Linked DNA regions of Alligator mississippiensis. The protein of the gene in region 1 purifies or fractionates together with the protein of each later gene. This does not show direct contact. Links are inferred from orthologs where the notes say so. Each region holds a gene or a part of one and is shown in the gene's direction. Other genes may lie near its edges.

What was found.
Region 2: the proteins of STK25 (region 1) and SLMAP purify together in Homo sapiens (affinity purification with mass spectrometry; 5 studies listed by BioGRID and IntAct, with this or other methods). This does not show direct contact. The link is inferred for Alligator mississippiensis from reciprocal best matches to the Homo sapiens genes STK25 and SLMAP.
Region 3: the proteins of STK25 (region 1) and CTTNBP2 purify together in Homo sapiens (affinity purification with mass spectrometry; 3 studies listed by BioGRID and IntAct, with this or other methods). This does not show direct contact. The link is inferred for Alligator mississippiensis from reciprocal best matches to the Homo sapiens genes STK25 and CTTNBP2.

What each region holds. Positions count from the first base shown.
Region 1 is NC_081830.1:37,264,006-37,274,510, forward strand, and holds the start of STK25 (serine/threonine-protein kinase 25), read left to right. Parts: upstream 1-3,660; 5' UTR 3,661-3,786; intron 3,787-4,087; 5' UTR 4,088-4,161; coding exon 4,162-4,212; intron 4,213-10,505. UniProt on the Homo sapiens protein: Oxidant stress-activated serine/threonine kinase that may play a role in the response to environmental stress.
Region 2 is NC_081835.1:20,911,370-20,921,874, reverse strand, and holds the start of SLMAP (sarcolemmal membrane-associated protein), read left to right. Parts: upstream 1-4,731; 5' UTR 4,732-4,811; exon of another isoform or gene 4,812-4,927; 5' UTR 4,928-5,760; coding exon 5,761-5,958; intron 5,959-10,505. UniProt on the Homo sapiens protein: Associates with the striatin-interacting phosphatase and kinase (STRIPAK) core complex, forming the extended (SIKE1:SLMAP)STRIPAK complex.
Region 3 is NC_081827.1:48,420,822-48,431,326, forward strand, and holds the start of CTTNBP2 (cortactin-binding protein 2), read left to right. Parts: upstream 1-3,967; 5' UTR 3,968-4,075; coding exon 4,076-4,138; intron 4,139-10,505. UniProt on the Homo sapiens protein: Regulates the dendritic spine distribution of CTTN/cortactin in hippocampal neurons, and thus controls dendritic spinogenesis and dendritic spine maintenance.

The sequences.
Region 1 (10,505 bases):
GCTTCAGAGTAGGATGCAGATCATTGGCTTGAAGTTGCAGTGAAGTAGGTTATTTATCAGGAAAAAACTTCTTCACTGTTAAAGCAGTGAAGTAGCAAAATAGACTGTCTTGGCAAGCTGTGGAACCTCCATCATTGGAGGTGGTCAAGAAGAGGTTTGATAAACATCAGATACTTGCTACACTTGTATTCTGCTATTGGTATTTCCCATGCTTCTGGGCTTTGCTGGCTGCCATATGGGGCTGGGAAGGAATTTTTTCCCCTCCTGCTGCTACATGCATCAGGATTTTTTCTGTCTCCCTCAGAAACTGGGGATTTTGAGTGGGGTGTGCCAGTGCTCCTTCTGGGACTTAAAACCAGAGGTTCCTAGCTAGAGGATCTTTCCCTTGCCTCAGAGTCAGACTGATCACCATGTTTGGGGTCAGGAAGGATATGTAGCCCTATGGTTATATTGGCATGGACTGTGGTGGTTTTTGTTTTCTTCTGTAGTTGAGTGTGTGCCCACTATCTTGGTTCTCTCAAGTGTGTTTTAATAACCTTTGCAGCAGCAAGATGCTGGCTGCTGTGGTCCTTCTACTTTACCTGTGGCAGGTTAGGGTGTTATTTCTCGTAATTGTGCCAGGTTTGACTGTGTAATTTTGCTAATAGGTGAGACAATGGATTTTAATGGGATGGTTGGATAGGAATGATCCTGCCTCACGAAGGGTGATGGACTAATATCCCTGCTTTTCTATGAGTCTATGATTCTGGCTGCTATATTCATGAGCATCTTGTGGGAGCAGACAAGAGTCACATGTGCCATGACTGGCCCCAGTCCAGTTCAAAAAGCCCATCGTCTCAAAGCCAGCTGCTATTTTGGGATGTTAGCAATTGCCACCCCATGTGCATGAATCAACAGTAATTGCCTCACAAACCTTCAAAGTTATGTCACTGAGATTTGCAAACATTAAACTGGTTACCATTAGTCTGCAGAAGTTTGAGGTAGCCAGCTTCCAGATAATAAAAGTAATTTTTCTGATCTGATATTACCTCTCATCTGCATACCTATATGCCACTGAAGAGCTGGGTCAAGATCTGGAGTCACGGCTGTTCTGCATCAGAATGTAGCCCTACCTCTCTCTGCCTGTGGTCCTGCTCCAGAATTGCTGGCCAACACTGTGGGATCCCATAGCATTTAGAGTGGGTGCTCTAACCCAAAAAACAACCACCTAAGTCACCTGGGGGCTGAAGACTTACTGTATGTCAGTCCTACAAAACAATTCTTTGATGATTTTCCCCACAGCCATAACCACCTCCACCTCACCATCTTCATAATTCTGTGCACAGGAACAGCAGAAGGATTACTGACAAGATTAATGAGACAGTTTGTTGGGATACACTCCCAATGTACTCATTTAATGTAAGCATATGTGTGTGTGAGAGAGACAGAAAAAGAAAGAGAACCATTACCATTTTGGTTAACACCAGGGACTCAACAGGCACAGTTGAAACATGAGTCTTTAGAACACACTACAGCTGGGTCAGTAACTAACTCACATCTACTGTGGACTGGATAGACATATAACACACACTGATGAATAGCTTACACATGTGCAGAGCCCTCCCACATTGCTGCACAGCTGGGGCCCAGGTGCTTTTTCTTCCCATACCCTAGCAATTGGCTTTCATATCTGGATACTTGCTTTATTTACTTATTTATTCCAAAGTTTTAATGCTGTTGCACTTTTCTGGTTCCCCCGAAGCAAGGGACTAGGTGTGTCCTGGATACAGCTGTCATGTTTCATGGGGCTGGCCCTACACGTATCACCAACCAGCCCAACCTGCCCCAGAACTGGAAGGCAAAGTGTGGAGTTAATCTGGGTATTTGTAAGGTGTGGCTCTTTGTCTAAAGCTTCTCAACTGAAAGGCATCACGTCTGAACTCAAAAGTGCTGCCTCTCTCTACACACTCTCATGGCTGCCAAAACCACAGACATTTGCAACGCCAGTTGTTGTTTTCACTTCTCTTCCTTTAGGCCAGTGATTGTCAACCAGGGTGTTGCAGCACCTGGGGGTGCCTTGATATCCTTTGAGGGGTGCCATGCAATGTCAGCGCTGTTAGGTGTACAAACATGATTCACAAGGTAAACCCAGAGATTTCAAATAGGAATCCATAGTGTCCAAACTATTTTGACCTGTTGTGGTCTTTCTAAATTCTTTGCAGCAGCAGAATTGCTTTATTTTTCTATAGTTACTAAATGACTGAAAACTAAGAGCGGGCATTTTCCAAGGGCTGCCTTGAGATTATTAGGGGGTGCATTGAAACTGAAATGGTTGCAAACCACTGCTTTAGGCACTGGCCTTTTAAGTGTAACAAAGTGGCAGGTCGGGAAGGTGCTAACCTCAGGCTGCAGCTTCCTAGTTTAGATCTTTGTTGCAATCCAGGGACTTGTTTCACAACTGGGCCACTTTTGCCATGGCTTTTAGCAAGCATGGTAAGGTAGCACCAGCAAACAAAATGGCCATTTGGAAAAACCTGTGTGTACAGGTACCTGCAACTGGGCCTGTTTGATGGAGAGATGTCTGTTTTACTAGTTAGAAAGAGTCCAAGTCAGATTTGAAAGGTGACCTGAGCACAGGATTTCAGATGGGTTTGTTTGATGTGCGTGGTAATTTCTTCAGGAAGTATCTTTTCCAACTTGTTCCTTTTTTTTTTCTAAGAAATAACATGAAGTCATGTGTACTCTGCTCTGCTTCATTGGATGAAGGATGCTCATGATGAGCAATTGGCTTGTCTATGGAAAGGTAAGAAGGCGATCTTCAACAAAGGCTTCTTTACTCAAAACCATAGTCAGAGAGGTAATAATGGGGGGGGAAAAAAACAATTAGCAAAATGTGTCATCTAGTTTGTTTAAAACCAGTCTCTCCCTCTATTATCTACCTTGTCTTCCCCTTGATCTGATGGTGCTATTGTTGGCACTGGCCCTGTCACCCTGCCAGCTTCAGCCATGACAGGACCTGGATTCCCAGAGTAAAACCAAGCAGGGAAAAGAATAATGCTGTAGAAAACCTCTGGGGTCTACTGCACTGGACTTCAAAGAGCCTCCCCAAGGCATCCCCTTCAAAATGATGCTGCTCTTGCACACAAGTGTGTCCTTAGTGGTGCCCACGTGATAGCCTAAACGTAGAGGCTTGTATGTATGCGTATATGTCTGTGTCATATATGTGTATGTGTGTGCGTATATATGTGGCAATGGAGACGTGTGTGCATGTGCCTGTATATGTATGCGTGCGTGTATATGCATATATATATGTGTGTGTGTGTGTGTGTGTGTGTGCATGAGTATGCGTGCAAATAAGTGAGTGTGTGTGCGTACAGACAGAGCGCGGACTGGCCCGTCCAGTCCCCTCCGGGCACACGGAGAACCTCGCTCCCTCCTGGGAGCCGGCCGCGGTGGTCCAGGACACGGTGGGTGGGGCAGCCCGGGGCCCGCTGGGGCTTGTGGTTCCAGCCGTCTGCGCCGCGGGCCTACATGCCCCAGCATGCCCCGCGCGCGCCCCGGGGCCTGCCGGCTGCCGTAGTCCCCGCGCGCGTCAGCCCCGGCCGGGAACTGCCGCTCCCAGGAGGCCGCGCGGCCGGGGCCGCCCTCGCGCCGCGCCACTGCCTGCCCCGCCCCGCCCCGCCCCCGCGAGCGCGGCGTCCCCAGGCGGTCCCGCAGCGCCCGCTGCCTGCGCACGAGCCGGTCCCGCACCGCCATGGGGCGCGCACCTCAACGGGCCCCCCGGCCCTAGGGCGGGTGGGCGGGCGGGTAGGGGCAACGGCTGCTGCGGGGCGGGGCGGGACGCTGGGCCGGGCTGGGGGCACTGGGAGCGCCCCTGGAGGTCGTGGGGAGGCGCTGGGCAGGCTGGGACGGGGCTGACAGCAGCCCGGGGGTGTGCAGGGCCGGCCAGGCTGGTGTTGGCTCTCCGGAGGCCCCAGAGGGTGTGTGGTTGGGAGGCGGCGGCAGCCCCTGGCCTGGTGCGGGCACGAGCGGGGTGGGGGGCGCTCGCTGGCAGCCAGGTGGGCACGGGGCACCTGGAGTAGAGCAGCTGCGTTCTTGCCTCTCCCAGCTCATCCGCGGAGGAGCTAGCATTGCCCCTGGGCTGTGCCGCACGCCTCCCGCTGCCTGGCTTGGTGGAAGTGGATGTCTGACCAGCCTGGGGACATGGCTCACCTGAGGGAATTTGCCAACCAGGTAAGGATCTGCCCCTGAGAGCAGGTGACAAACCCTGAAGCAAACCCCCTCTGGTTTGGGAGCCAAGCCGTTGTTGTGCCTCTGCCCCCTGTGCTCTCAGCCTGGCTTCTCTTTCCCAAGGGACTGCTGTTGTACCCCTGGCAGGCCTGGCTTTGACATGCTGCAAGGTTGCTGCTTCAGGAGAGGAAGGAAAGAGGAGGCTTGCACAGGTGCACTTTCTCTCTCGAAATATAACGTGGGTCTCTTTGAGAGAGGTGGGAGTCGCTGACGTTCCCAATATTTGGGGGCAAACGGGGTAAGAATTCCAGGCCGTGAAGCAGACGTGTAGGGGAGCAGGGACTCTCCATCCCTGGAGGTGATCAAGAAAAGGTTGAACAGCCCCCGACCAGGGAAGATGCAGGTGTAGCGATGCCTGTGTTCTACTATGGGGATTTCCCAGGCATCTGAGCTTTGCAGGTTGCCACTGCCTGCCTTTCCTGCTACATGTGTAAGGGTGTTTTTAAGCCTTCCTCAGAGGCATTAGGTGTTGGCTACAGCCAAGGCTGGGGATATTGATCAAGGTGTGCCAGTGCTCCTGCTGGGACCAAAGGCAAAGGTTTCTGGCTTGGGAGTCCTGTCCCTTTGCTCAGGGTCAGACCAGTCACCATATTTGGGGTCAAGAGGGAACATTACCCCATGGTCAGATTGGTGGGGACTGTAGGGGTTTTTGCCTTTCTCTGTAGCAGGGGGCATGGCCCTCTTCCCTGGGATTTCTTGAGCATATATTGACAACCTTTCATAGAAGTAGGATGTCAGCTGCCCTGGTTCCCCTGCTTTACCTGTGGCAGGTTAGGTTGTTAGGTCAGTGTTGTGTCAGAGCTGAAGGCAGTCTTATGTAGAGTTTAGATTATGGTTTCTATGGGATAGTTTGGATAGGGAGGATCCTGCCTCAGGCAGACAGTTGGACTAGATGACCTCTGGAGGTCCCTCCCAGCTACTTCCTCATGATTCGATGAAGAAATATGTCCAAAAAAAGAACTGCAGGCTACCACTGTACATGAGCAACCTTCGTAGTGGACAGTTGGGGCTGGTGGATTGAGCTAAGCATGGGAGAGGGGCAAGGAGCTTCCCTGGTTGGTTCTGAATAGGTAACTGTCCTATAAAATACATATATTGGCATTGGTGAACAGTGTTATCACTGTGATAATGTTTTTTCCCAATTGGACTTAAAGGGGTGATTCTGTGGTAGGGGCCAGAGAACTGATCTTGGCATGAATCCTTCAGCCAGAGCTTCACTGCTGGTACCTTGGAACTTGTTCACTGTTGTGGACTGAAATATCCAAGAGCTCCCCCTCCCTTTGCCCACCTGAATTTCTCTTCCTTATTAGAAGTAAATGTGCATGCATTGTTGTCCCTTACTTTAGGTGATCTGTAAGCAGAATTGGTGTGAGAGTGTTGTAAATGATCTCTAAATTGGATGCCTCTTCCCCGCAGAAGGAGGGCATAGCTGGCATCTTGTTCCTTCCCACATTTTTCTGCCAAATTTGCAAATGCTGTAGCTATCGAGATCTAGAGCAGTGGTTCTCAATCTTTTGCACCTTATGTCCCACCAGTCATTTTGTCAAAAAAACCCTGGTCCCACCATAATAAAAACAAAACCCCACTGTTTGAGAGATCCATTGATTCATCTATTTGAAGTGCAAACAACTTTGATTTTTTTCAATTGGGTAATGAGTTGAAGTCCCACCCACATGACCTTTGCGTCCCACCAGTTGAGAAACACTGATTTAGAGCTCTTCTTCTGGCATATTTTACATTAAACTTCTTTCAGGCATTCTGCATTCCCAAGTGTGGGGTTGAGTACTTAAATGTGGAAGCTTTTGGCTGTGGCTATCTTTTGCCTGGATCCATTAAACTTTCTTACTGGTTTTAAATTAGTTTGCCATGTGACTTATTTTGCTGTGCAGCACCAACTGTTCCCTAAATGCTGTACAGAATTAAAGACAATAATATGTCTTGAGCTAGTTGTAGCAGAGGGAGAGAATTGGAGACAGCAGAGAGGATCTGTTTAGTTACAGCTGAAAAATGGTGCATTGATGAAGCAGTTTAATGCAGGAGCTGCAAGAGGAGGGCTGCTAGAAGTAGGTAATGAGTAGGTAAGGGAACAAGGCAGAAGGAAGGTAAGGAGACAAGAAGGGTAACTTGGAGCCAGAGTGAATAGAGGGGACAGCTGCTTGTGATGGATGGGTGTCTTCACCAAAAAATAATTTCTTTGGTTGCAGCAAGCTTTTTGTCAGTGAATATTGGGTGTAAGGTTACCAGTGCCAACCATGGCTACCTTCTTGTTGTTATCCACAAGGGCATTCTCAGCCTTCTCCTTACCACGACCTCTAGTTGCAACAAAAGCCTTTCCTTTCCTTCTACCAGCTAATCTTAAAGAGGAAAGTTATTTGACAGGTGTCTTGTGTTGTTCTTCTTCCACCCCCCACCTCCTCCTTCCTCCAGGGGCTGACCACAAGCCTCAGGTTATAAATTGGCTTCTATGTACGTGGGGGGCTTTGGAAGAGGAGTAGGAATTGTTCACAGACTGCCTGTGGGGGAGGGAGGGGTTCTATTCCCAGTTCTACTGACCTGCTGGGACCTTGGGCACATCATTCCCCTTCTCTGTGTCCTTGCTTTCCCTCCTGCCTGCAGTCTTGGGCAGGGATTATTCCTTGCTGCATTTAGATGGCACAGGGGGAGCCCCAGGCTCTGTTCTTGTTATGCGAGTAACTTTTGGCTTCAAGCTCAGCTATGCGTTTGCTTCCAGCTTTTGTTGCAGGCTTCTTCTGCGACCTTGACAAAGTCTTTCAAACTTTCTGTGGCTTAGTAATACTTCATGACATCCTTGCAGTGTCCTGAGAGCTGATGCAAGTATGGCACTTGGGGAGTCCTGGCTAGACAATTAAAGAAACACAAAGCCTTGTTGCCATGGGAATTGCCTTTTTTATTTGGGATTGTAGAAGTGCAAAGCCCTTGCTCTGGCTCAGCAGACAACAGAAAAACCATGAGCTAGTGAGGTAGTGACCAGCAAACTTGCAGGTGTTTCCATGTGACAGGATCACTTTCACTGAGGAAAGCAGGGCAGTTGCTGCAGAAATGTCTGGGAGAGGCCCAAAGGGTTAATATGTAACATGGAGAATTGCTTGAGGGAAGGAAACACTAAAGGGAGGTCAGAACTGCTGCAATCTCTTTAAGGTTGAGGCCCTTCTAGCTGGGTGTGTAGCACTGGGAAGCTCTGCATATTTATCTCAGTACTGAGAAATTACCTGAGTGAAAAGCTTTATAGGGGGGAAAAATGAATATTGGAGCTGTGAAGCCAGCTGTTTATGCTATGGCATGTAGCACAAGCCATAGTGACTCTCAAAATATTTTCCCCCCAATCAAGAAGGTTCTAACCCTTGGCATAGCCCTGCAGTTCTCACCTTTTTTAGGGGCAGGGTGGCTGTGACCCCTGCATCCTGTTTGTGGCCCAGCCCCATGTTGAAAACCCCAGGTTTCTGGCTGGAGGCAAGCACCTCTTGGTGCCTTCATAACAGAGCCCTGGGGGAGACAGCACAGGTGAACTGCAGAGAAGCAGGGGTGAAGCAGGGTGAGTGCACACTGCCAACCAGCTCATCTGTGCCTCATGCTCCAGGCAGTGATTGAATCCTGCCGAGCGAGTGGGATCTTTCCCTTTTCCCCTGACCCCCTCCCAGAACAGGACTTAACGGTGTCACCTCTAGAGCTGCCCACCTCAGCAGCAGCGCTGCCAAGTCTGGAGTGCTCACAGCTGCCAGGCTGGCTCCGAACATGCCATTCCTCTTAACCCCCAGTGCCAGCTGAGAATTGCTTTGCTTTAAAACATTATCTCTTTGTGCATGATAGGGCATTTCCTGACAGCCATTGTGATGGGATGCCTCTCCCACAGCTAGCAAGGTGGGGTTGAGGGGAGCAGAGCCTGCGATGCAGCCTAATGTTCCTTCTTCCTCCTTTCCCACATAGAGTATTGTTTCCCACCCCCAGCCCAACTTCGTTTGTTTCTTTAGCTCTGAGTGGCTTGGCAGAGCAGTTCAGCACAGGAGAAATGCTGGAATTGCCTGAGTCCCTCTCTTACTGCAGAGCCTGTGCAATGAATGTTCAGCCAAGCACATAGATATGATTGGGCAGACATCACGTAAGAGCTGTGTAATAGAACAGAGAGCAGCAGGTCAGCTGGTTCTCCTCCCCGCCATGCTTGGGGCTCTGCTTTGCAGTTGCTGCAGGCTTGGCATTAGCAGAAGCGAACAGAAAAGGGTTCTAATGTGAATGGCAGCTGCAGAGCATGGCAGGTGCTAATGAATGTACACTTAGGCTCTGATGGGTCCACTCCCTCTAGGTGCCTTACCTGGGGTGAAGGATTCCACTTTCAGTGCCCCATGACTGTTTGTCTGATCTGTGTATAAGGGTGTGGGGTGGGGGTCACTCTAATTGTAAAGCCTGTACTGGAACCAAAGCAATTCCTAAGCAGTGAGAATAGGCTGTGAACTAGACAGTATCCAGGATGAGGATGCTGGTTGTCCTCTACATGCCATCTCTCAGCAGTGCATAATCATGTGCCAAAACTCGCCTGTCGGCCGACTGGACTGCTCGCTCCCCTCAGTGAGCATTTCCTCTTCACTGTGCAGGTGTCCGAATTGACCTCAGGAAACCTTGCTGGGTTTCTGTGGCCTCACTTTGCCTTAGACGGGATTGCAAGCACCCATCTTTGCTCAGTTTGTATGTTGTTCTGTTCATGCTGTCTGTGCCAAGGCCGTGTTTCCCCTGATCCTTCCGTACTTAGGTGGGACAAAGGCCTTGGTGATGCCTGGTCTGGCCTTCACTGTGAGCATGCTCATGGTCTCCAGCAGGCATTTCCTGGGGAGTGTGACTTTTGGGTTGGGCCTTTGCTTTTTGCATCATTGGGCAGAGTAATTCACTCACAGGGCTTGGCTCAGTCAGGGGCTTGTAATGTTTTTAACAAGCTTGTGTAGGCAAAGCTTGTGGTCAGCCCATCCAGAGGCCCTTTCTGTTGTCCCTGCCTCAAAGAGGACCTTGAAGAATTTACAGCCCCCAGTTCTCCACAAAACCTGATGGGGTTGAGCCTTGAGGCTCTCAATCTGTGCTGGGACAGCTGCAAACGCTGGAGTTTCTCATTCTAAGTGCCAGCTTCCCTTTCATGGGATAGGACCAGTCTCTCATGCAGTCTGTCCAAGCGTCTTGGCCATCACTAACCACATGGGTGGTTTTGGCTGCTCTGCACCCTACCGCTCGCCCAAGTCACTGCTGTGCTGGGAGCTGCCTCATATTACTGTACCCAATTGCATCCGCATGTCCCCAGATGGCCTTCCCAACAGCTAGCCTTGTTTGCTTGGCACGCTGTCCCTGCCACCACTCTGCCCTCCACTGTCATTGCTGAAGGACCCAGAGGTTGCTGGTCCTTGCTCTATGTCCAGTTCCCCCTCAGCCCTGCAGGGTGTGGTGGATGATGTGTCCGTTGCCCTTTCCCTTTAAGGGGTTTTTGGGTGGGAGGGCCTGGTAGCCTCTGCTCAGAGAGGGAGCTGCAGAGGTGATGCCAAGCTGGGTATTTTGGGGAAGCTGCTCCATCCCTCCTTGGGGTGAGGGTAAGAGGCTTCTGTGGGTGGCAGACAGTGTAGCAGCCTGTGCTGCCAGATGGAGACTATTCTGTTGCCCCTCCCTTACTACTCCAAAGCATAAAACTGCTCCTGGAGCCCCTTCTGAGTCCAGCCAGACAGTCCCAGGACTATTCGTTCCCACGTCCTTTTAGTCTTGCTCTGGCTCAGATCATCTCCTGTCCCTCCCCCGCCCAGGCCTTGCTGCGTCTCCTTCACTCCTTTCATCTCGGCTGCTCTCTGCTCTTCCCCTCCCGCTCCATTTCCAGCATATTTGTTCAAAGTGCAGTGCTGTTTGGGCGTTGCCATGGATGCATGAGGATGTTTGGTTGCCCTTCTGTTGTATCTTGGATTAAAAGGCCTGTTCAGGGAGCTGAGCATGGAGCCTGCAGCACCCTGTACTCTGGGGGCTGGGGATAAACAGCCCTGCCCATCCAAAGGCTTCTTAATGATCCAGGTTGGTTTAATGATTAAATAATAAGGGCTGCAGCCCCAGAAGCAGATGGGAAACATGCAGCTATCTTGACCTCAAAGAGAGTCTTGGCTCTTCTAGCAGGGTGTGGCCCCTCCTGCGTGATGCTTGCCCATAGGTGAGTGTGGTATTGAGTGCCAGACACGCTGGGTGTAGAGAACCCATAAATGCTC
Region 2 (10,505 bases), on another chromosome or scaffold:
GCGTGGGGAGGTTGGGTGGCTCCTGCCACTGTGTATAACCCAGGAGGTTATGGGGCGGGGGGTGGGGGTGTGTGCCCCTGGATCCACATGGCGGGGGGGAAGGGAGGGCTGCAGCTGCGGGCTGGGACTGCGCTGGACTCTTTGTGGCGTGTGGGGGGTGGGATTGGGCTGGGGCTGTGCTTAGGGAGGGTGCTGGCAGTGCTGGGAGAGAGGTTATGGGGGTGGGGACTGCAGCCACCCCAAATTTTGCCATAGTTTCTCTCCCAGTACCCTGCCTGCTGCCCCGAGTGTAGCCTTGAGCACAGCCCTCATGCGCCAGGAGCACAGTTCTGAGCAAAGCCCACATGTCCTGGGAAGAGCCTGGAGCAGCCCCGGCCCACGACCGCAGCCCAACTTGCCTGCACCCTGTGCAGATCCAGGGGCACAAGCCCCCCATACCCTCCCAGGGTGCACACAGTGGGGAAAGCCCCTCCCTCCTCCGTGCCCCACAGACGAGCCATGGCTCCATCCCATGCCCTGCCCCAATGGAGCAGGGGCAGGTGTTGCCCACTCCCTCCCTCCCTCCCCCTGGGAGGGTGTTGCTCTGCCCCCCCACCACACCCCTTCCTTCCACCACAACAGACTTACCAGCTGGATGCAGCTCTTCATGCTGCTGCGTTGTGGCATGTAGGTTGACATTATATACCTCCAGCACAACCAAAGAAGTGATTTTCCCACTCTACTCGGCACTGGTGAGACCACAGCTGGAATAGTGCGTCCAGTTCTGGGCACCACACTTTAACAAGGACACGCTAAAGCTTGAGTGAGTCCAGAGAAGGGCCACCCGTATGATGAGAGACTTGCACAGCAAGCCATATGAGGAAAGGCTGAGGGATCTGGAACTCTTCAGCCTGGAAAAAAGAAGGCTGAGAAGGGACTTGGTAGCAGCTTACAGTTACATCAGAGGCATATGTCAAGGGCTCGGTGAACAACTGTTCACCAGGGCACCTTTGGGGAAAACTACAAGTAATGGTCACAAACTTCTGGAAGACTATTTCAGGCTCAACATTAAGAAAAACTACTTCAGAACTAGGGTGTCCAGACTGTGGAATAAGCTCTCTCCAGAGGTGGTGCAATCGCCTACACTGGAGATCTTCAAAAGACCGGACAGGCACATTGCTGAGGTCACCTGATCCCAATTGTCTTCCCTGCTTGGTGCAGAGGGCTGGACCCAATGAACTTCTGAGGTCCCTTTCAGCCTTATGGTCTATTAATCTATTAATTTATTGGCCAAATTATCGGCCACATCAGGCCAATTTCTGACGCAATCAACTTTCTTTACATTGGTGCCGATACAAAGGTCTGGATATTCCACTCATCAGGTTATTGTTTGTTCTGCAATTCCACCATCTGTTAGTTGCTGCTCCTGTAATAAAGCTCCTGTTTCACAGCTCTGAGATAGTTTTTAACTCACTCCAACTTACATTTGAATATAAGTTACTTATATTTTTCTTGAATCTTAAACTGAATAATACAGTTATTACAAGTTATTCGACATATTAGTAAAGCTTCTAATTTATTTTTAACTAGAGAAAAATATGTGGGATGATGCACCTCACCATCAGCACCCCCTTTTCAAATTATATATCTGCCCATGGTTGTTTTAATTGTTTGGAAAGCAGAATGCTAGAAGGGATGCAGTTTCCCAGGTACAGCAGGCAGGCCCTACTGACACAAGTGAAGGTGTGTTTTACTGGGGCCTTTTAGACTTAGAGGCAACATGAATCCCAGTCTCTTCAATCTCTCCAGTCTCTTGTCATTTGGAAGTCTCTCAATTGCCTCTGTTTAATTTCCTGGAAATAGTCTCTCTGGAATGTCTCTGTTCCCTATAGTCATGGTCCTGCTCTATTTTATTTGATATAGAATGACAAAAAATGAACACATTATTCTGTGTACTACTGGCTCATCTAACAGCAACATAATATTTTCCAATATCATTTCCCATCCTGTTCCTTATACCAGAGACTCCAGAACTTTTCTATAGTGAAACTTTTTCCTGGAATTCCCACTCAAGATGCCCACTCGCATCTAGGCAGGATATAGCTGACAGCACATTTCCATGTACTAACTTGAAAAGGACAGGGTAAGTATCATTCCTCTGCCATATATACAAAGTGCCAAGTGATAATTTCTATACTTGATATATCCTGTTATTTATTTTGATTTTTTTGATCACCTAGTCCACAGTGCTGTTCCAATTTTTTCCCCAAATGATCCTAGTTAAGTTTGAATTTATGGCTGTGTCCCTGCAATAAAAGTTCTTTAAATGTTGAGCACCCTGCAGGACCTAAGAAACATTCCAGACATTCAGGCCAAAGTCCTAACGTTAGGCAGGTATGCACATGACTCAAAGATGCTGCATTCCACAAGTCTGGCAGGCGTCATCTCCCCTAGAAGGGTAAAGGTGATTTGCCCTTCATTCCCTTATCCAAAATGGCTACTGACAATTGTCTTTGCCCTAAACAATGATGGCTGTCATATATAACACTTATAGACTTTCTGCCCTTAACTATGATGGCCACTGAATGTGATCTTCCTGCCCTTATCTAACATGGTTGTCAAATTTCACCTCTTAGGCTCTGTGGCAAATGACAGTTTGCCTGAACTGAGCATGTACTTGTAAGTCATCTTTACTCCTGGCAATTAGTCTACAGTTGCAAATTCTGCACCAGAGCCCATTACAGATGCCTAGCCACCTGTTCCTTTTGCTGGTCAGAGGGACACTTTGAAAGGTATCAAAGACCCCAGAAGCTGTTTTGCACCCCCACTTTCTCCAGTTTGTTAAATAAGAACTGAAGTAAAAAGGAAAATATGTAGACTATAAGACAACACCGTGTGTGTTTGGTTTTAAAAAACTGTAATTGTAAAACCTACATACAGTGAGTGATCAGAAGATGTTATTTCTCTATTTCTGCTGTCCTCTAATCATTTTATTCCCCGCTCCCACAGAGTATAATTTTTTTCTCTGATGTTTTTTCCCCTTGAGTCTCATCATCAAACCCTCTTTCCTTTCAATCAATCAATCCAAGATCCTTCCAAATATTTAAAAGGATTTGTTCTCACAGGAATTCTGTCCTATCCTTTGCCCCATGAGCATACATTTTTCTACCATCTCCTTTTCTATTCTCCCCACCTTCAAAATGTCTGAATGTATTTCTAGTAAGTCAATCTGTTTATCCAATCCATTTGCTGTAACATTTGAATTTCGCTCACCGTGTCCCTAATCCTTTTATAAGATTCCTTTTCCCCATGACTTGCTACAAACAGCCTACGTAATGACACTCATTAAATAAACTTATTTTCTGATTGTGGGTTCTGGGTCACAATCAGATAAATTTGAGATATGTCAGCAAAATAAGCCTCTATTTTAAATATACCAATTTGTAGGTGATATGCCATATGCTTTTGAGTTTTGGAAACAGTGCAATGTCTTGAAGTTTGAAAATCACTACCATAGTTTCATACCTCTTGTACAGTTACCCCTCTATCACTTTTCCCTTTTTGCCTTCAAAATTATGCAGTCGTTTCTCATCTTAGATATCACTTCCCTGCTTCCAACACCGTAATTGATTCAGTGCCACCTGGCTTTTAGTCTCTTCCCTCCCCTAAGACTTCTCTTTCTGCCATGTCCTATGTTTTCATTCTGCTTTGACCTTTGTTACCCTTGACACAGTTATCCACCACTCTTCCTTCCTCTTGGGCTTCTGGCACTTTTCACAATTCCAGTCTCTCTCATTGATTGTTCACGGCCGGCCTCTCTCTCTTCATTCGTTGTTCTTATTTTTCCTGCCTGACCTCCACTTCCATCTCTCAGGGCTGTATCCCTAACTACCCTCCTCTGCATACTGTGTCAAAGGGTGATCTTATCTGATGGCCAGACTTCATTTTTTATCTGTATCGCTCAAACTGCCAGCGAGCCTCAAGGAGACTGAATGGCCAAGGGCCACATTGAACTAGTACTCGAGAGACCAGTTCCACCACTGCATTTTACTTGATTTTGAGCAAATCTCTTTGGCCTCAATTCCCCCTCTTTGTAAAATAAAAATACATACGGACCTGCTTTATAATCTACCGACGGAAAATGCTGAGTAAGAGGCGGGCATTGCACAGTGGATACCTAACTCTTTTTTTTTTTTGTCCTCTCCTGTCCTCTGCTCAGCCCTGCCTCTGCAATTATCCTTCCCACGTCTCGCTCTCTTGCAATCTGGGACTTTAATTGGGTTAAGACCCAGCCGAATAGATAGGCGAATGCCTTGCGAAAGTGAGACACGCCTCGCAGCCGCGCAGAGAAGAACCTCCGAGCCGAGGCCGGGGCAGGAAAACCCGGGGGGGGGGCAGGAAAACCCGGGGGGGGGGGGCAGCAAACACCGCTGCACTGTCCGCCGGTTTAGTTACAACGAGAAGCACCCTCCCCGACCCCACGTGGGAGAGCGGCCCCGGGCCCCACCGGCTCGCAGCGAGCTGAGGCTGTCGGCACCTCCTCCCCTCCACGCGCCCCGCACCTGCGGCCCGTCGCCGCCGCATGGAACACCCGGAAGCGCAGCCCGCAAGTGCGGGCACCACCTCCAGCGCCGCTTCACGGCACTCAGCGCGCAGGCGCTACAATCCCGCGCCTGCGCCCTGCCGAACCCGCGCCTGCGCAGAAAGTGGGAGGCGGGCGCGGGGCCTTCCCTTTGGTCAGGCCCGGTGCGAGCGGCTCCTCCCTCCCCCGGCTGCCCCCCCTTCCCCCGCCATCACCCGCCTCCCGGCCGCTGCCGCCGCCGCCGCACCGGGTAGGTTTGCAGTCACTATGGCGGCTGCAGCGGGGAAGGTAAGAAGGGCGGGGAGCGCTGCGGCGCCCGCACGGGCCGGGCCGGGCGACTCTGACGCCGTTTCTTTGGCTTTGCAGGTCGGAGGAAAGTTTTCGGCGTCGGCGGCCGCCTGAGCGAGACCCGGCCCGGTCTCCAGGCCGCAGGAGCGGGCGCCACCCGGATGCGCAGCCACCTGCGGGGCCCCTGAGCGCCGCCCCGCGCCCGGGAACCGCGGAGGCGGCCTCGCTCCGCGCCCCCCGCCGGCCCCCGGCCCGGGCAGGAGCAGCCGCGTCGCCCCCCCCAATCTTGGACCACTGGCTCCTCTCCAGGGATGAGGGCGGCGGGATGCGGCAGGTCGCGGGGACCAGCTAAGCCACCTGCCCCTTGAAGGCTTCGTTCGCCGTGTGCCTGGACGCTGCGCCGTGCCCTTCCCCGGCTCCTCCTTCACGCCTTTCCTCGCTCCCACATTGTGGGTGTCCAGTCAGCCTTGTTTACGGAAGGGGGTGGGGGAAAAATCGAGGGGGAGGTAGCCTGCATCCATCCCAAACAGAAGTCTTGGCGTGTGACTCATCAGCTTGGCTTTAAAGATCTCCCTTGCTTCGTTCAAAGGAGCGCACTCCTCTTCGGAGGAGCCCCATGGTTGTTCCTGTCTGCTCCGAAGAGGATGGATTGAAAGCTGCGTCTTCTGGGCGTCGCTTGAGGCACTGCTGATCTTCTTCGTGGACATGATGGGGCTTTTTCACTGGATTATTGCCAGGATTAGTTTACACACTGAAACTGTGCGTTGTTAGGCCTCGCTGGGTGCAAGTGATGTTTGTCTTGCGTTCATGTAAAGTTTCTGGAGATTTGGGTTAAAAATTGTGGAGGGTAGCCTGCATCAGAAGAGATTCTCTTCCTCCCTGGTTGTTGTGACAACCGCAATCTGTCCTCGATGCCTTCAGCCTTGGCCATCTTCGCTTGCCGCCCGAACTCTCACCCGTTTCAGGAGCGCCATGTCTACCTGGACGAGCCCGTCAAAATTGGCCGCTCAGTGGCCCGCTGTCGGCCAGCTCAGAATAATGCTACTTTTGACTGCAAGGTGCTGTCCAGGAACCATGCACTTGTCTGGTTTGACCACAAGACAGGCAAGGTAAGGCCATTTTTGCTCTCCTGGAGAGGAAAATAATATATGACAGGTTATTTTCAGCAAGTCACTGTACATTGTGAGCGACTTGTGTTTTTCCTTGAACTTGGTTGCAAACTAAGTTTATGCTGCGGCTAGGGTTTTGGGGTTTTAGTTAACTTAAACTCTACTAAAGGCAAAAAAAACTGAGAGCAGGGTTTGTGAAATGCATTAAGTAGTAGAGGAAGCTGGTGGATCTTCCCATGATCACTTCTCATTTCTGGGGATGCATGACTTTCAGGGAGGAGTATTTTATATAACTCAAGGAACTGAGTTATAAAACCTGAAGTAAGGTAAATAAATGCTCATCATGGTAACCATGAATAGTTATTGTTATTCTGGTGGAACTGGCATCTCGCCCCAGTGCTGTGTTAAAATGGATGTATCGGCATGTATTTTTTTCCTAATACTTAAATATATATCTGGTATTCATATGCTCAGAAGAATAACTCTTAATTTTGAGCAGCTGTCATGCCAAAAGGAAAATAGCGAAGGAAAAAAAATGTATTACTCTGGTATTCTGCCAATTTATGCTATCAACTTTTGAACAATATATTTTAATACTCCAAGCTGATAGTCACAGTATCACTAGCAGGAGCATTGTAGTTTAAGGTTTGGATTATCTGCTATCATTGCTCGTGAACTGGAATTAAAATATGCTGATGTGGTGTTAACCTGGCCACAGTCCTCTCGAAAGAGGACAGCAGCTAGCACTAAATGGAAGTTTAAGAGCTTTGTAATACTTGTTTATGTCCACTAGGGTCTGAACTGGAACAGGCAAAATCACTTTGCTTAACCTGTCAAACAAAATATTTAAACTGCTAACTAGTAGTGAGAGCTGTTTTCTTTCCCCTCAAAATCTTCAGTCCTCTCAAAAATATGTACTAAAAAGCATGAAACATTTTGAAAAATGGATATAAAATGGGTGTGATACTTTACATACTGTAATCTAATTCAGTTGTCTGATGACTGTCTTTATGTGTTCCTCTATTAATTACTCTTTTTATTGCTTTGTATTCTAACAGAATACCCTGAATAAGCTGCTGCACCCGGTTTTTTCTTTTTGTTTGTTTTCTTTATTATCATGACACAGCATGAGGACCAGTGCGATACCCTGACAATTCTTAAAGCTTCAGATGTTAACTACTATATGTTATGCAATACATAGGCATGATGGGACAGGACATGAGTTTAACTTTATTAGGTTGGGTTGGGGCATGACTTGTAGATTACTTGGGCATAATTGCTCATTAACCTATTATTTGTTTTGCTATTTTATTTGACGCGTTATGATTCCATGTGATGCTGTAGAAGAGATGCATGCTTGATGCATTGCATATAAGCCGTTTAGGTTATAACGTCAGTTTAAAGACCTGGGATGCTTTCAAGTGTGAGCTAATATGCAGTTTTTCTTGTTTGAAATAATAAGTTGGATGCAGTAACCTAAACTATCTGGTGTAGTCCAGCATTTTTGACAGATGCATTCCAATTTTATTCTGCTTTCTGCCTGAGCTTCTCGGTGCTTTACAAACTTAATTAAGCTGCTTAACACTCTTGTGATATGAATAAAGATGCCCTTTTTTACGCAAGGTTCATTTCATTCACAGGGAGGCTTTGATGGTGGGCAAATCAGCTAAGTGTTGGGAGAGCTTAAAAGATAAGCAGCTCTGTTGTTTTAGTCTAGTGCAGTTAGCTTTAGACTTACCAATGCAAGTAAAACATGAGCTTTCAACATACAGAATAAACATGAAAAAAGCTAAGTTGCTGGTTTGAATCAGCCCAAGTCCATCTGATGCCTCCATCTTTCATTTGCTATGATTGCTGGGCCTCTAACTTGGACAGGGGTCTCCCTCATAAACCCATCATCACAAATATTAAACTTGCAGGCACTTCCAGCCTATATGGAGGAATGAATTGGGTTAGAAAATTCATTACCTTCTATTTCCCTGATGAAGCTGTTCTGAAACAGGTTTGAGGCATGGTTGTATAGCAGAGAAGGGAGGCTTGAACTCTTTGGCTCCAGGGGAGTATTGCGTTTCTATGTCTGTCTGAATCTCTGTATGAAAAGTAAATTCCAAAGAGGATGAAGTGGTGGTTGGGAAGGGAGGAAAGATATGCTTTGTCAGGCAATATAGTTTTATTGGTGTTACAATGCAGAAGATATAAAACATTGTAGGGAAAATGCAGTAGGAAAACAAGTGGAGAGAGAAAATCCTTAGCTTCCTTCTATAATAAATCACAAAAATACACAGCTCTGTTTACAAGTCCTTACTCTTAAACCTGCAGTGTTTGCAGAATACAAACAAAAACAGCAGTGGAATCAAAGCATGTTGCTAACATCTGCAGGCAAACGTGTTGCCAAAGCCAACTTTTTAAATCAGTCTTTATTGCCCAGGAATATTTTATTAACCCATCCGTAATGTAAACTTAAAAGTATATCACTTTTGTTTTATTGTTCAACATGATTGAAAATTTGTCTGAACCTTGTCAACTCTTATCTTTTTATAAGAGCTTAGGCGATATTTTTAAAGTACAATGTAATGGAGAAAATTATGAGAAATGAGTAAGATTTGACACTGTGATCTGAGGTACCGAGGCTTACATGGAATGAGTAGTTCACTGTCAATGTGGCTGCTTCATGCACAGCACTAAGTGACTGTTAAAAATGACATGATGCTTGTTGAAATGTGTGCTATACTGAGAATAGGGTCCTTTAAACAGGTCTGAAAAAGTTCCCTGTTCAAAGAAGCTAATTTTTGTAAGACCAAACAGTACTAACAATAAAGGTAAGGTGCAAAAATGGGAGCATGTTTTTGGGGGAGACCTCTTGAGAGTAAGTAAAGTAAAAATGGCTTTAAAGGGAAGTGTCTAATTGAAAGTTGAACTTCTATTTTAAGAAAGTAATCTACTATTAAAAGTAACAATGGAATCACTAACTAAAAGAGGGGGACTAAGATTGGTTTTCAGGTTTCCTCTCTGTACTTGGAAATACTTGACAAATAATCACCTTTTATTGTTTTTTGTATAGATAGAACACCTTTGCTTTTGGGTTTTTGCACAACAGAACAGTTATGCACCCAAAAACCCATCCAGAGTACATGCCCTGTTGTAAGCTATTGATGTGCAGAAGCTTTTTGCTGAGTTTTTTTTTTTTTTTTTTTTTTTAAACCCTGGAATAAAAGGGGTTCTAGGCATGAGAAGTTACTGCTGGCTGATACAGATTTCCCTGCGGAGGTACCAACCAGAGCAACTGCTGCAGAGTTAATACTGTAATTGTTGGAGCTTATCCAAAGCAATTGTGGAGCATCAGTCCTGAGATAGGAGCACCAACATATTGATTAGATTTTTAAAAAAAAATATGTACTTGAAATGAGATTTCACAAGCCTTGAGTGATTTTTTTTTTTTTTAGATTTATTTTTATTTATTTTTTTTAACTCTTTTGCAGTAAAAAAGGCCAGTGAATAAATTTTCTTATAACTTGATGGTTTCTGTTTATGCCCAGGCCCATAGCGTAAGCATAAAACTAGGCCTTTCCTCTATATTTACATTGCCTAAATTTTTCACTAGAAAAAGTTGCATCTATCCTAGAGGTTTGTGTTGCTTTTAGTATATTGGTTTCCACCTAATATAATTAAAGCTGTGCAAAGTTTTGCATATAGCTGCAGTCTTTGGCTCGTGAAATCTTGTTCAGTCTTTGCTGAGAAGCTGTTGAAGCGCCATTTTGTTTCTCACTTTTGATGCTTAGGAAAATTTGTAAGCATGCCAAAATAAATGGATACTGACTCTTCGGAAATGCTGGACTCGCTCTCCTGCAGCAGCAGCACCATGTTCTGCAATATTGGAAAAACCCAGTTGCTGTCTGGGATGTTATCTACTGCCAGAAAGTCCCTGTGCTTGGGTGAGGTTGAGGAACAGATCAAAGGTGTGCTCCCTTAAGCTACATCCCAAACCCATCAGCCCGTTCTTGCCCACAGTAGATGTGGTTGGTCCTGAAGCCTAAATAGTTGAAGTCTCTGCTGTAGTGCTAAAGGAAGAGGGTTCATGTACTACTGGTTGGGAGATTTTTAAGGTTGTCAAACCAACCATGCCAGGTTAATGGTTAGCACAGTATCTTTAATTTTATCTCCAGTTGCGTGCATTACTTTCACCTGGGCTACTATTAGTCTGGTATTTCCTGACTCAGGAAGACTTGACTTTCTAACCTAAATGAATTACTTTAAATGTACTTCTTTTGTGGATAATATTGATTAGTAGCGCATGAACATTATTTTTCCCCTGTTAATCGTTTTGTTGAGTCCTTTCATCAAATGATATAAACTGGCAGGATGGGGTATTTGATTTGACAGGTAAAAAATACTAGGTCAGGTTAGTGGTCAAACAGTATCAAATAATGGCCAAATTATTATTAGAACAGTGAAGAGGGAGACTTTAATCTTCAGTAGATTAGATATTCATGCTACTTAGGAAAAAAAAAAACCAAGTCAGTTACCTGCTATTGTGAAACAATTAAATA
Region 3 (10,505 bases), on another chromosome or scaffold:
TTGTAACTGTAGATATCTAATTGAAGCTGTCAGCATTAGGATCCACCTTGTCCAGGATGGTTTGATTTCCCCAGTAACTTCTTCCCTGTTTTTGTGCAATCAAAGCAAATACTCTTTTCTATTGTGGCAATTTGCTTGGTAATAGATAAAATGAACATTATCCTGCACAACAACTGCATCCTGAAAGTGATGGACCAAACCCTACTGTGACAATTGTATAACCACAGGGAAAGAACAAATTTAAATCTTAGGTATAGGTCCTAGTCCTAGCAGAGAAATGACTTTCTTGACATAAATGACAACTTTTTCTCCATCAGTTGGGCTCAGCAGAAGTTGCAGCAGTGAGGGAGTTAATTCTCTCCAGCCTGTAAGCTACATTTCAGTAGTAAAAGAGCAAGTTTCCTCCCCCAAGCAAAGCAACTCCTTTGCCTCACTAATTTTATAAAATGAACCACTTGTGCCAACACAGGTAGTTTCTCCTGTTAGAAAGGCCCTAGCATGGGTATGTGGTGAAGAGTGTACTTTCTCTTTAACATGGGCACAGCAATGACTATTTTATTCCACATCAGCCCAGAACAGGCACCTGGACTAGGACCACATGGAACAAGTAACATCAGGTATAATCATGGAGGAACAGTCATCAAACCAAAGCCTCCCTTCTCTGACCTTCCTGTATCAGGTATGAAACCCTTCAGGATCACATGTCCAAAGTCTTCAGGGATGTCTGTGGCATAAAGCTGCAGGGATGTCTATGGGATAGCTGCAACAGCTGGGGAATGAATATAACTTAGTGTGGTAGCATGATCTTAGCAATCAAGGAACACACAATTTCTAGAATAGTGGGGATTCTGGAAAAAAGGGAGTTCTTTAACTGGCAGAAATGCAGAGATTCATAAATACAGTGGATAGCACTGACAAAGAAGCCACAACAACTGCACAGCACAGGAGCCCAGCCCAGTCAAAAAAGGGAGGAGAGGGAGCAAAAATCCTGAACCTAGCAGCACAGAGGAATAGCAAGGCCACATCTCACCTGTTTCTGTAGCTAACTGCAAACAATATGACTAGCATATTGCCTTGTCACATTTGAAACCCTAGGCCAAATGACCCATTTACAGCTCAGTCTGTCGCTCAGCTGGCACTAGTCCAGGGTAGAATTTATATTTGCAGTTCTGCAACTGTAGTAAAATACTTTAATCCATTCTCTGCCACCACACCCCTTCCTGCTCCCAATAATGGTCAATAATTCCCAGTATAGATTTAAATGCTGGGGTGCCATCACTAAATGGATTAGGCATTGTTGTTGTCACATCAGCAAAAGGGTTGAACAATGCAGAGATCCAGTAGGGTGTAGAATGGTTAAGCTGATCAACAATATTTTTAAAATTTTGCACTGATTAATTTATTGGCATGACAAAAATACAGCTCTTTGCTGCTTCAGAACTAAGTGCTTCTGTCACAACAGCAGATTAAGCCATTTCCAATGCTTGGGTGATGTGCCAGATATTAGCTGTCAAGAGGCAGGATTTTAGTTGAAGTCTTGCTGGTCCAGCTATCTTCTTATTTATTTTTTTTCTGGCTGAGACTTGAGAGTTGCTTTTCCTCCCTTTCCAACATCATTTCTAAATTTATCTTCAGATGAGAGAGATCAGTTCTCAAGGCTCACCTGGTGAGCTATGACTAATCTGATATTCATTGTTATTTTGATAAATTTTCCTCCAGTAACTGATAAAAGAAAACATCATCTACACCTCAAAATTGCATGATCTTGGCAGCATGAGAGATAAATTGTGCAGTCTTGGCTATGGAACTGTGATGGAAATGTACTAGAAATATGGAGTTAAAATAACTAGCATCTAGGTACCATGCTGACTGGATGCTTTTTAATAACCTGAAGAGAGAGAATTTAGCAAGTATGGCAGGAGATGATAGAATCATAGTAGTAAGAAACCAGGAATCTCCAACAGTGGAAAGAGCAGTAACCTGTGCGCCCCTGCGCCACTTCTTGTTAAAAAATGTCAGAAGAGGATCTTGTCGACTTTACGCCTCAATTCCAGGGACAGAGGAAAGTGTTAGTGAATTCTGGGACAGGGGAAAACTAGCAGAGCTGGTATTTAAATACCGGTTGGTAAGACGCAGAATGCTGACAAACCAGTCTCATTGATTGGGACCTGATCTAGAAGGGTTAAACATGACAGTGCACAGATGTTAAGGTTTTTATTTGGCGTGGGTCTTTGAGCTTTTGGGATTCTTCAAGGGTCATGTCTAGACTGCAAACCTACTATGCCTGGCAATAGCACCCTCAAACATATTGTGCAGCTCAGCATGCATTACCACACAGACTGGAAGCACGTACTGAATGTGAGCAGAGCTGAAAGGGCGGTGGAGCACTGTTGGTCAACAATGATAGTTAGCCCACCTTCTGTGCTGTGTGGCTTTGGTTGGATGTGGGAGAATAATGCATGCAGTCGCACAGTGTACTTGAGAGCTCTGTTGCTGGGTATGGTAAGGTTGTGATCTAAATGCGGCTGGTTTAGAACAGGGCAAATAAACTGTTACATATTGCACATACTTGGGAGCTTTTTAACATAGCATGTTTGGTAGATGTCCTCTATGACAAAGGCACACGTACACTTAGGGGTTTGCATACTAATATAGTTGAGGTTGGTTCTGCTTTGAGCAGGGGGTTGGATGAGATGAACTCCTGAGGACCCTTCCAGCCCTAATTTTCTATGATTCTATGATAAATAACAATTAATAATAATGTGTAGTATGTGACAGTCAGCCAGAGAATGAATCCTGCTCTAAAGAGGAGCAATGGCACTGGACTTCTTGGATCCTGAGGGAACTACATGAGCCAGGGCTCTGTGGTACTAACCCAATGTCTCCACTGGCTGGACCTGGCTCATGGACATATGGTGCCAACACAGGGGTGAAATCATAGTCCCAGGCAAGCCGGTCCAAGGGTAATTGGTGCCTTAGGTGAACTGTGTACCCCGGTGCCCCCACCACCTCCAACACAGAGGAAAATAAGAAGTCTGGAATGAACCTTTATATGTACTTGTTTGATATTCAAAATGAACAATAAAACAATAAAAACATTTTTAATTGGTTTTCACACTTTTCATTAACCCTAACACAACTATACTGCAAAAACTCTAATAGGATTTACTATATTACATGTACAATTAAAAGACAGTCCTCATGAACATTACAAAATAAAACTTTGCTTTTTGTGCTTTCGGTTTCTGTGATTCAGAACGGCGTTCCTGTTGTTTTGTTCTGGATTTCATTTTGGCACCCTGGATGACCACCTAGTTTGCCTCACGGCTGGCCTGGCCCTGCTCCCAGTGATGGCAAAGGCAACCCACCTGGTCTTCCCAGGTGGGGGCACCTGTGCCGCAGGGCTCCTTCCCGCAGCCACATCAGATACTCAGAGGTTTGGAGCGGATGGAGAAGGCGGAGATGCTGCTGGGTTTTTTTAAAGGACTTACATGCATCCTCATCCAGCGCTTCTCAACCCTGTGAGACGCCTGTGGTGCCAAGGCCCAGCCCAGCCCCGCAGCCACGTGTCAGCCGCCCCTGCCTAGGCAGGGCAGGGCAGGGCCCGCATCCAGGCGCCTTTTGATCCCTTAGGTGCCGGCTCCTCGTGAGAGCCGAGGCACCCCCATGACTGGCGCATCCTCTGAAAAGCCCGGCTCTTGGGGGGGTCGGACTGCGGAGAAACAATAGAGGCGCTGCCCCGCGGCAGGGCCCGGCCCGGCAGCTCCGCGGGGCTGCGGATTCCTGTCGGAAACCCCTGGCTCGAGCCGCGAGCGCTGCGGCAGCCCGGGGGCGAGGGCGGCTCCCCGGCCCCCGCGCCCGGCAAACCCCGCGGGGCCCCGCAGCTCACGGCGGCGCGGGCAGGCGGCCGCTGGGGAGCCCCGGGCTGCCACCGGCCCCGCCCGCCTGCCAGCCCCGCCCCGTCCCACCCGGCCCCGCCCGCGCCCGCCGGCAGCGACGGGGTTAAGCGCCGGGCTGCGGCGGCGGCGGCGGCGGCTGCCACTCGGCTCCGCGCCGGGGCCGTTACAGCGGGAAGATGGCGACGGAGGGAGCGAGCGCCGAGCCCGGCTCTGGCGGCCAGGAGGACGCGGAAGCAGCGGTAACCGAGGCCGGGGCCGGGGCCGGGGCCGGGCAGGGGGGACGCGGGGCTGAGCTGGGGGCTTCGCCCGCCCCATTGTTCTGTGCGGGCGGGGGGGGTGAGTGCGGGCCCCGCGGCTGCCCCGCACGACGCTGCCGGCCCGGGGCCGCTTCTCGTGCTGCTGCTCCTGCCCCGCGCCCCGGCACCTCAGGCGAGCCGGGACTTCCCTCGCTGCAGGGAGCCCCCTGCCCGCTTGCATTTATTTTCTTGTGACGGGCTCCCGTCAGCTCTGAGGGGGCAGTGGTTGTTTTTTTTACAAAAACACATCCACGTCCAGGCAGGTTTGCACAGACGTCCCTTCAGTCGTGCAGCCCTGAATCCTCTCCCGGCAAGCGAATGTAGGCGAGGATGTACCTGGCCATATTTTTTCCCTGTCTAAACTAACAAAAATCTTGGGGGCAAAAATAAAATAAAATAATTTAGGGATATGCTCTGGGAATTTTTTTTGCTCTAGGGATACACGGGTTTAGGTGGATGGAATCAAAAGGTTGGGAATGCGAGGACGGCTGTGTCGAGGTACTCGGAGTATATTTTCCAGAATAGGGAGCAAAACTAAAGCCAGTTAGTTAGGCCCATAAATGAGCCTAACTTCAGGCAACCTTTTCTTTAAGAACCAGGGCTTTGCATCCTGCCGACTTGCCAAAGATCCCTCCAGTATTTCAACCCCTTGTCCTTATTCTTCCTTTTTAGTATTCCTTTAATAATAATAATAATAATAACTGTTACAGATTTGGGGTTCTTTCTCCCTCTGAAAGAATGAAAAGAGACTATTGCTTATTTTAAAAGGAATCAATGCAGTTTTATGATGCATGGAAAAACCAGCCATTGGATTGTTTTGGGGCTATTGCCAGGCACCAGCTTAATTTATAGCCTAAAGCTCAGTGAAATTTCCAGTGGAGGATTTTAAAATTCAAGTGGACGCTTCTTAGTTGTTGGGATTGTTAACGGCTAGAGGGTGCAACGAACACTGTCTTGGACATAGAGTCAGTTGATACACAGTTGTCTTCTGCTACAATATTAAGTCAACAGTTTGGTCTAACAGTGGTATTGTCAGGGCATGATGATAAATGCTGTTTTCCTGGCATCTTAGTACAGCATCAGTAATACTTCGGGGGGGGATCTTTTGGCTGTTGCTTGGCTGCTCCTGAAAATGTAATGAAATAGGACTTTCACAAATGGTCTTGCTATTTACTGTCGCTAAGGAATTTATAACTGAAAAAGAGTAGAATATTCTTTCGTGTGCTGTACTTGGGAGGAAGCCAACATTCTTGTCATTCTGAGCTTTCTTGGTTCAAGTACAGCAGTTATGCCAAAAAAGAGAGATCCCACCAAAAAAACTTGGTATACTGTGTTACCATGGTAATAATGATAGGAGAAACTGGAGGAGACTAGCTCTGATGCCGCTGTCGCACCTGTGCAGCCCTTCCTGATTTGTACCAAAGCCAGTGGAATTTCATCAGCATGAGGCCAGTGTAATTTGCGGTAGGTTGGGGTGGGGAATGGGAAGTACTGTGCATTGACCTCCACCTGCATGATATCAACTAACAATGATTATATAATAGCAAGAAATGATCCAACATGTCAGTCTCTTTGTTGATATATGGGGGCAGCAGCCTGTGATGCAAAGAAAGCTGCGTTGACAGATGTGGTAGCCTAGGAGAGTATATAAAGAGGATGCTGTAAAAAGCTCCACTCTTTCTAACTGCTTTGTCTATGGTAAAATTAATTAGTGAAGGACTGCTCTGTTGTGTTTGTTTGTTTTTTTTTTGTTCAATGTGTATCTGATATCTGGAAATGGTAGCCAGCATTTTGTATCTTTTGAATTGCTTTTTGAAACTGTGCAAAAGATATCTAAGACTTAGTCTTGGTCTCTGAAGTCAGTGGGAATTTTGCCTTTGACAGCACTGAAACCATGATTTCACCCAGGGATGGGCAACAAATGGCCATGAGCCAGATCTGGTCAGTGGAGCCACTGGATCTTGTCCACAAAGTCTTAGAGCTTTGCCTATGCCTGCATCTGTGTGCTGAAGCTAAGCAAGGAAGAACTGCATGGGGGCTGGGCAACTTTCAGCTGCAGCCTGCCACTACTTCTCCTCTTCCCTCACCACCCCCATCCCATCTGAATGGCTTAAGCATCCCTCCTGCTCAGCGTATTCTTAAGCATCTATCTCTCCCTGTGCATTGTACTGGGCAATGCATGCTAACTTTGGCATGTGAAATCTATTTTGGGCACTGGTGCCTGAAATTGAGGAATGACAACATTCAGAACCACCAGTCCTAAGTCCCTTTGTAAATTTGTTCAGTGCTTCGAAACTGATACCAAAATCTCCTCCTTGGTTTCTGCCTAAAGCCTAACCCACCATAGTGGCAGGTGCTATCCTCTAAGGATATGCCTCTATTAGTGCTATATTACAAAAAAATAGTGTTTTAATGTTAATCTTTGCATTGTTACTGAATTTATTGATGGGAGGGTTGGAACTTAGATGGTTTTATAAAGTTTTTGGGCCACAATTTATAAGGAAGGTAAAGGTATGAAAAAACTACCACTAAAAGGGTTAAGGACAATAAAAAGGCATTCTTTAAATGTGTTGGGAACGAACTAAAACTAAGTGATTTTATGTGTTTGCTACTGGAGAAGAATGTTAACACTTAGTTACCAAGAGGAAGAAGTATATTTAAATATACACTTTTAAATAGGCAGGGATGTATAACTTGCACACGAGAGTATTAAAAGAATTGGCTGGTGAGCTCTCTGAGCTATTAAAGATCTAAAATTTCCAGATCAAACTGGAGAAATGCCAAGAATGATGGGATTGGGTCAGTTATGCAGGTTGACATGGATCACTAAGGTTTTCAGTTGGAAAAACGTTAATATGGAGACAAAGGCAAGGTCATCAGAACATGTGGGAATGAATATGTAGGTCATACATATGAGAGGAAAATGGTGAACTGCAAAAGGATAATATATAGGGTTATGGCTGATAACTGATTGCACTTGGAGTGCGCATTCAGTGTTGTTTAAAAGGCAAATCTGATTTTTGGATATAGCAGCAGGGGCATGCCAAGTAGAAATAGAGGTGTAGGTATCATAACTGAATACAGAATTAGCAAAGCCTTTACTGGATTAATTTGCATTGTCAGCCCCTCAAGAGGATCTTGGAAATTGGGCTTGCTTCAGGAAAAAGCTGAAAGAGTGAATCAAGTTGTGGAAAAAAAGGTCAGGCCTTATGGGCTAAACTGAAAAAGCTCAAATAGTTACTTTACCCTAGAGAGGAAATGGTTTGATCATGGTCTATGAGTATGTACAAAGAATTTTTGCTAGTAGAGATTTAGTTTAGCAGAAGGCATCATGGGATCCTGTGATTGAAGGCTTAAAACTAGACTAGAAATGAGTTGGGGGAAGGAGCAGATATTTGACTGCTGGAACAGCCTAAGAACTGTACTTTCTCTGTTACCTGGAAGGCTTATAAATCATGTGGTGGCTGAAACCATAAGTTACTGGCTCAAGGCAGAAATTACTGGGTGTGGTTCTCTAGTTTATATTACAAAGGAGGTCAGACTATTATAATGGTCCCTCCTGGACCTTAAAATCTAGGTCGAGGATATGTGCAGGTGTTTGCAGGTTTGAACCTTGGTTGCATTTTACAGCTTAGCATGTTAGTATTAGGAATAAAAACTGAATGCCCAGTACAGCTGGCTGGAAAATGCAGAAAAAATATTATTTGAAAATCTTGCGAAAGCACAGAAAATCATCAAGAAATTAGGAATTTAAAAAAATTTCAGAACTCTGTAAAATGGTCAGAGAAGTAATTTTGGCTCATTATAAGTAAGTGTGCCCAAGATGAGTGCTTTGTAATCAATATAAACATCAGTAAATAAAACAGATTTAGTAGTTGGAATTTTTTTTCAGGGATTTTTTTGCCAATTCATGAGCAAAACTCTACCTGCCTGAGCAAAAGAATAGAGAACGGATAAACTTTGCAACAAATACTGGAAATGAAACTGAATCCCAAGGATCTTGCAAAAACTTAAGCATGTTCTTAAATTTTGTGCACTGTGGCTGGAAATGGACATCGCCTTTGTGCCATCATAAAAATGTTTATGCTGTAAAAGGGCCAAGACAATAAATGTTCATGCCTCTTATCCACAAATGCTGAAAATCTATGGTCGTGACAGTAGGTGGTATGAATTTATGCTGCTGTTTTGCTGGGGACATCTGTTTGCTTTGAGGTGGGAGTGCATGGGCAGCCCAGGGCTTTAGGGACCTATTCCTGCATGCCTGAGAATTCCTGTTCCAGGGTTATGCAGGAGCATGCCCTCGAAGCCCAAAAGTGCCTGCCCAGGTCCCCCGTTTGTCAAGACATTCCCCATGTGAGAGTTCCAAGAATTTCCTGATTTGCAGCGATTCATGTCTAGGGAATCTGACTTGGGTTGCATCTCTGCAGATAGGAAAAACTTAACCCTAATTCCACCTGCTGGCTTTGAAATCTCTGTCCCACCATTTAGTTGAGTCTTGGGGCAGCAAGGGTGCACTTGGAGCTGGGCTGGGGAAAGCTTCTGCATGCCTGGTTCCTGGCCTTTCCCCAGCCCAGCTTCCACCTTCTGGCCCCTTTGGCTTCCCTTTGCTGCCCAGCTGACCTGGAGCAAAGTGGGTTGAGGCAAGCTACTTGGCCACAACAGCAGGGCTTAGGGGCCTTGCCATCTCAGCAGAATGCCCCTGCCTCCCTCTTCACTGCTCTTGGTCACTCTGAATCAGTACAGGGTGGAACAGGCTGCTGTGGCCCTGCTTCAAGGCTCCCAGATCCTGGCTGCAGTGGCTGAGTGCTCCCCCCCCTCGCTGTACTCTTCCAGGTCAGCCCAGAGATGTGTAAGGAATGAGGCTGTTCTGCTGGGGAGAACAAGGAGATTTCCCACTGTGTGTGAATATGAATCAGTTGATTGTTAGGATGGAGAAGGGAGGGCATTCTCTGAGGGCAGGTACCCTCTTTCCCCCCACCCAGCCCCCCAGGTCTTTGATTGCCTCTGCTTTTCAGCAGTTATTAACTGTTACTTAACAGCTTGCCCCCTTCCCAGGCAGGGGAGAAAGCAAGCTGTCAAATAATAGGCTCCCCTAAGAGTGGGGGTGGCCCAAGGAGGAGCCCTATGGGGCACTGACAGACATGGGGAGGAAAAAAAAGTGCTTTAGTGGAAGCAGCAGTGCATTAGTTTACCCTAGCTCTCCAGCATCTGTATAGATTCAATTGGCTATTATATAAAAACACCAAAAAAACCCTCTTGAAGCACCCGATCTATACAGACATTGGCCAAGCTGGGTTCAATTAACATGATGCCTCTTCTGGACATATGCTCAGCTCAGTGCTGAGTTTAAAGTAAAACACCATTTTTGTGGGTGTGGGTTTTGTTTGTTTGTTTGTTTGTTTGTTTGTTTGTTTTTTACATCTGTAAGCAACCTTAATACCTTTCTTAACTGGAAAGCTTCACAGGTAGGAGGCTGCCAAAATGTTTTGTACAGTCTAGCTCCTAGGCTGTTTTTCAACTGGAAGACATTTCTTCCAGTAGAAATGAACCTCTGTATGCAGCCGTAGTGAAATTAATGAAGTGTGTGCATAAATCTCTGCAGCAATAGTCTCTAGCAGGCTAATAATAAAGGACATTAGTATAGCTACCTGCCTTTCATCTCTAGATACTTCTCTGTAGTCCCATCAAACTTGATCTTGTTGTTAAAAGCCTTCCAAGTGCCTGCTCTTCCTTCCTCGAAATACTTGTGGTGAAAGTACATCTCTTAGGCCTGAGTTGAGAGTGCCCCCCTCTGTTTTGCATTTGTCAGTTATAGATGCCTTGAGAGGTGATTCTGTTCTTGCTGCAGGAAAGAACTCCAGGGAGCTGGTTTTCATAATGAGAAGTAAGACTGGGATCTTCTGGGTACCGTAATCTGCTCTCCCTGTTTGTGGGGATGGAAGAACCATAGAACATTGATTTAGGCTGAGGCTTCTGTTTCCATTTGGTTTATGGTAGAAATCTTGCCCTGATTTGTGAACTTGTTTGTTAGTGGGCTGACTGTATTAATTTTCAAGGTGCACACCTATCTGATTAAATGAGGCTCAGGTAAGTCTGTGTGTTCTAGTATATGTGCACTAATGTCTGTGTGCTCTGATGTCTGTGTGCTAGCTGCTAGGCAACAGTCTGGCAAAATTGGGACTGAAGAAATGAAACAAACAAAAAGGCATCTGAAAAATCATAGCTTATTTTATTGTCATAACTCAAACCAAACAGACTTTTTATAATCTTAAATTGAAGGTGAGAGAAATTTATCTTGTTTGGGTCGTGC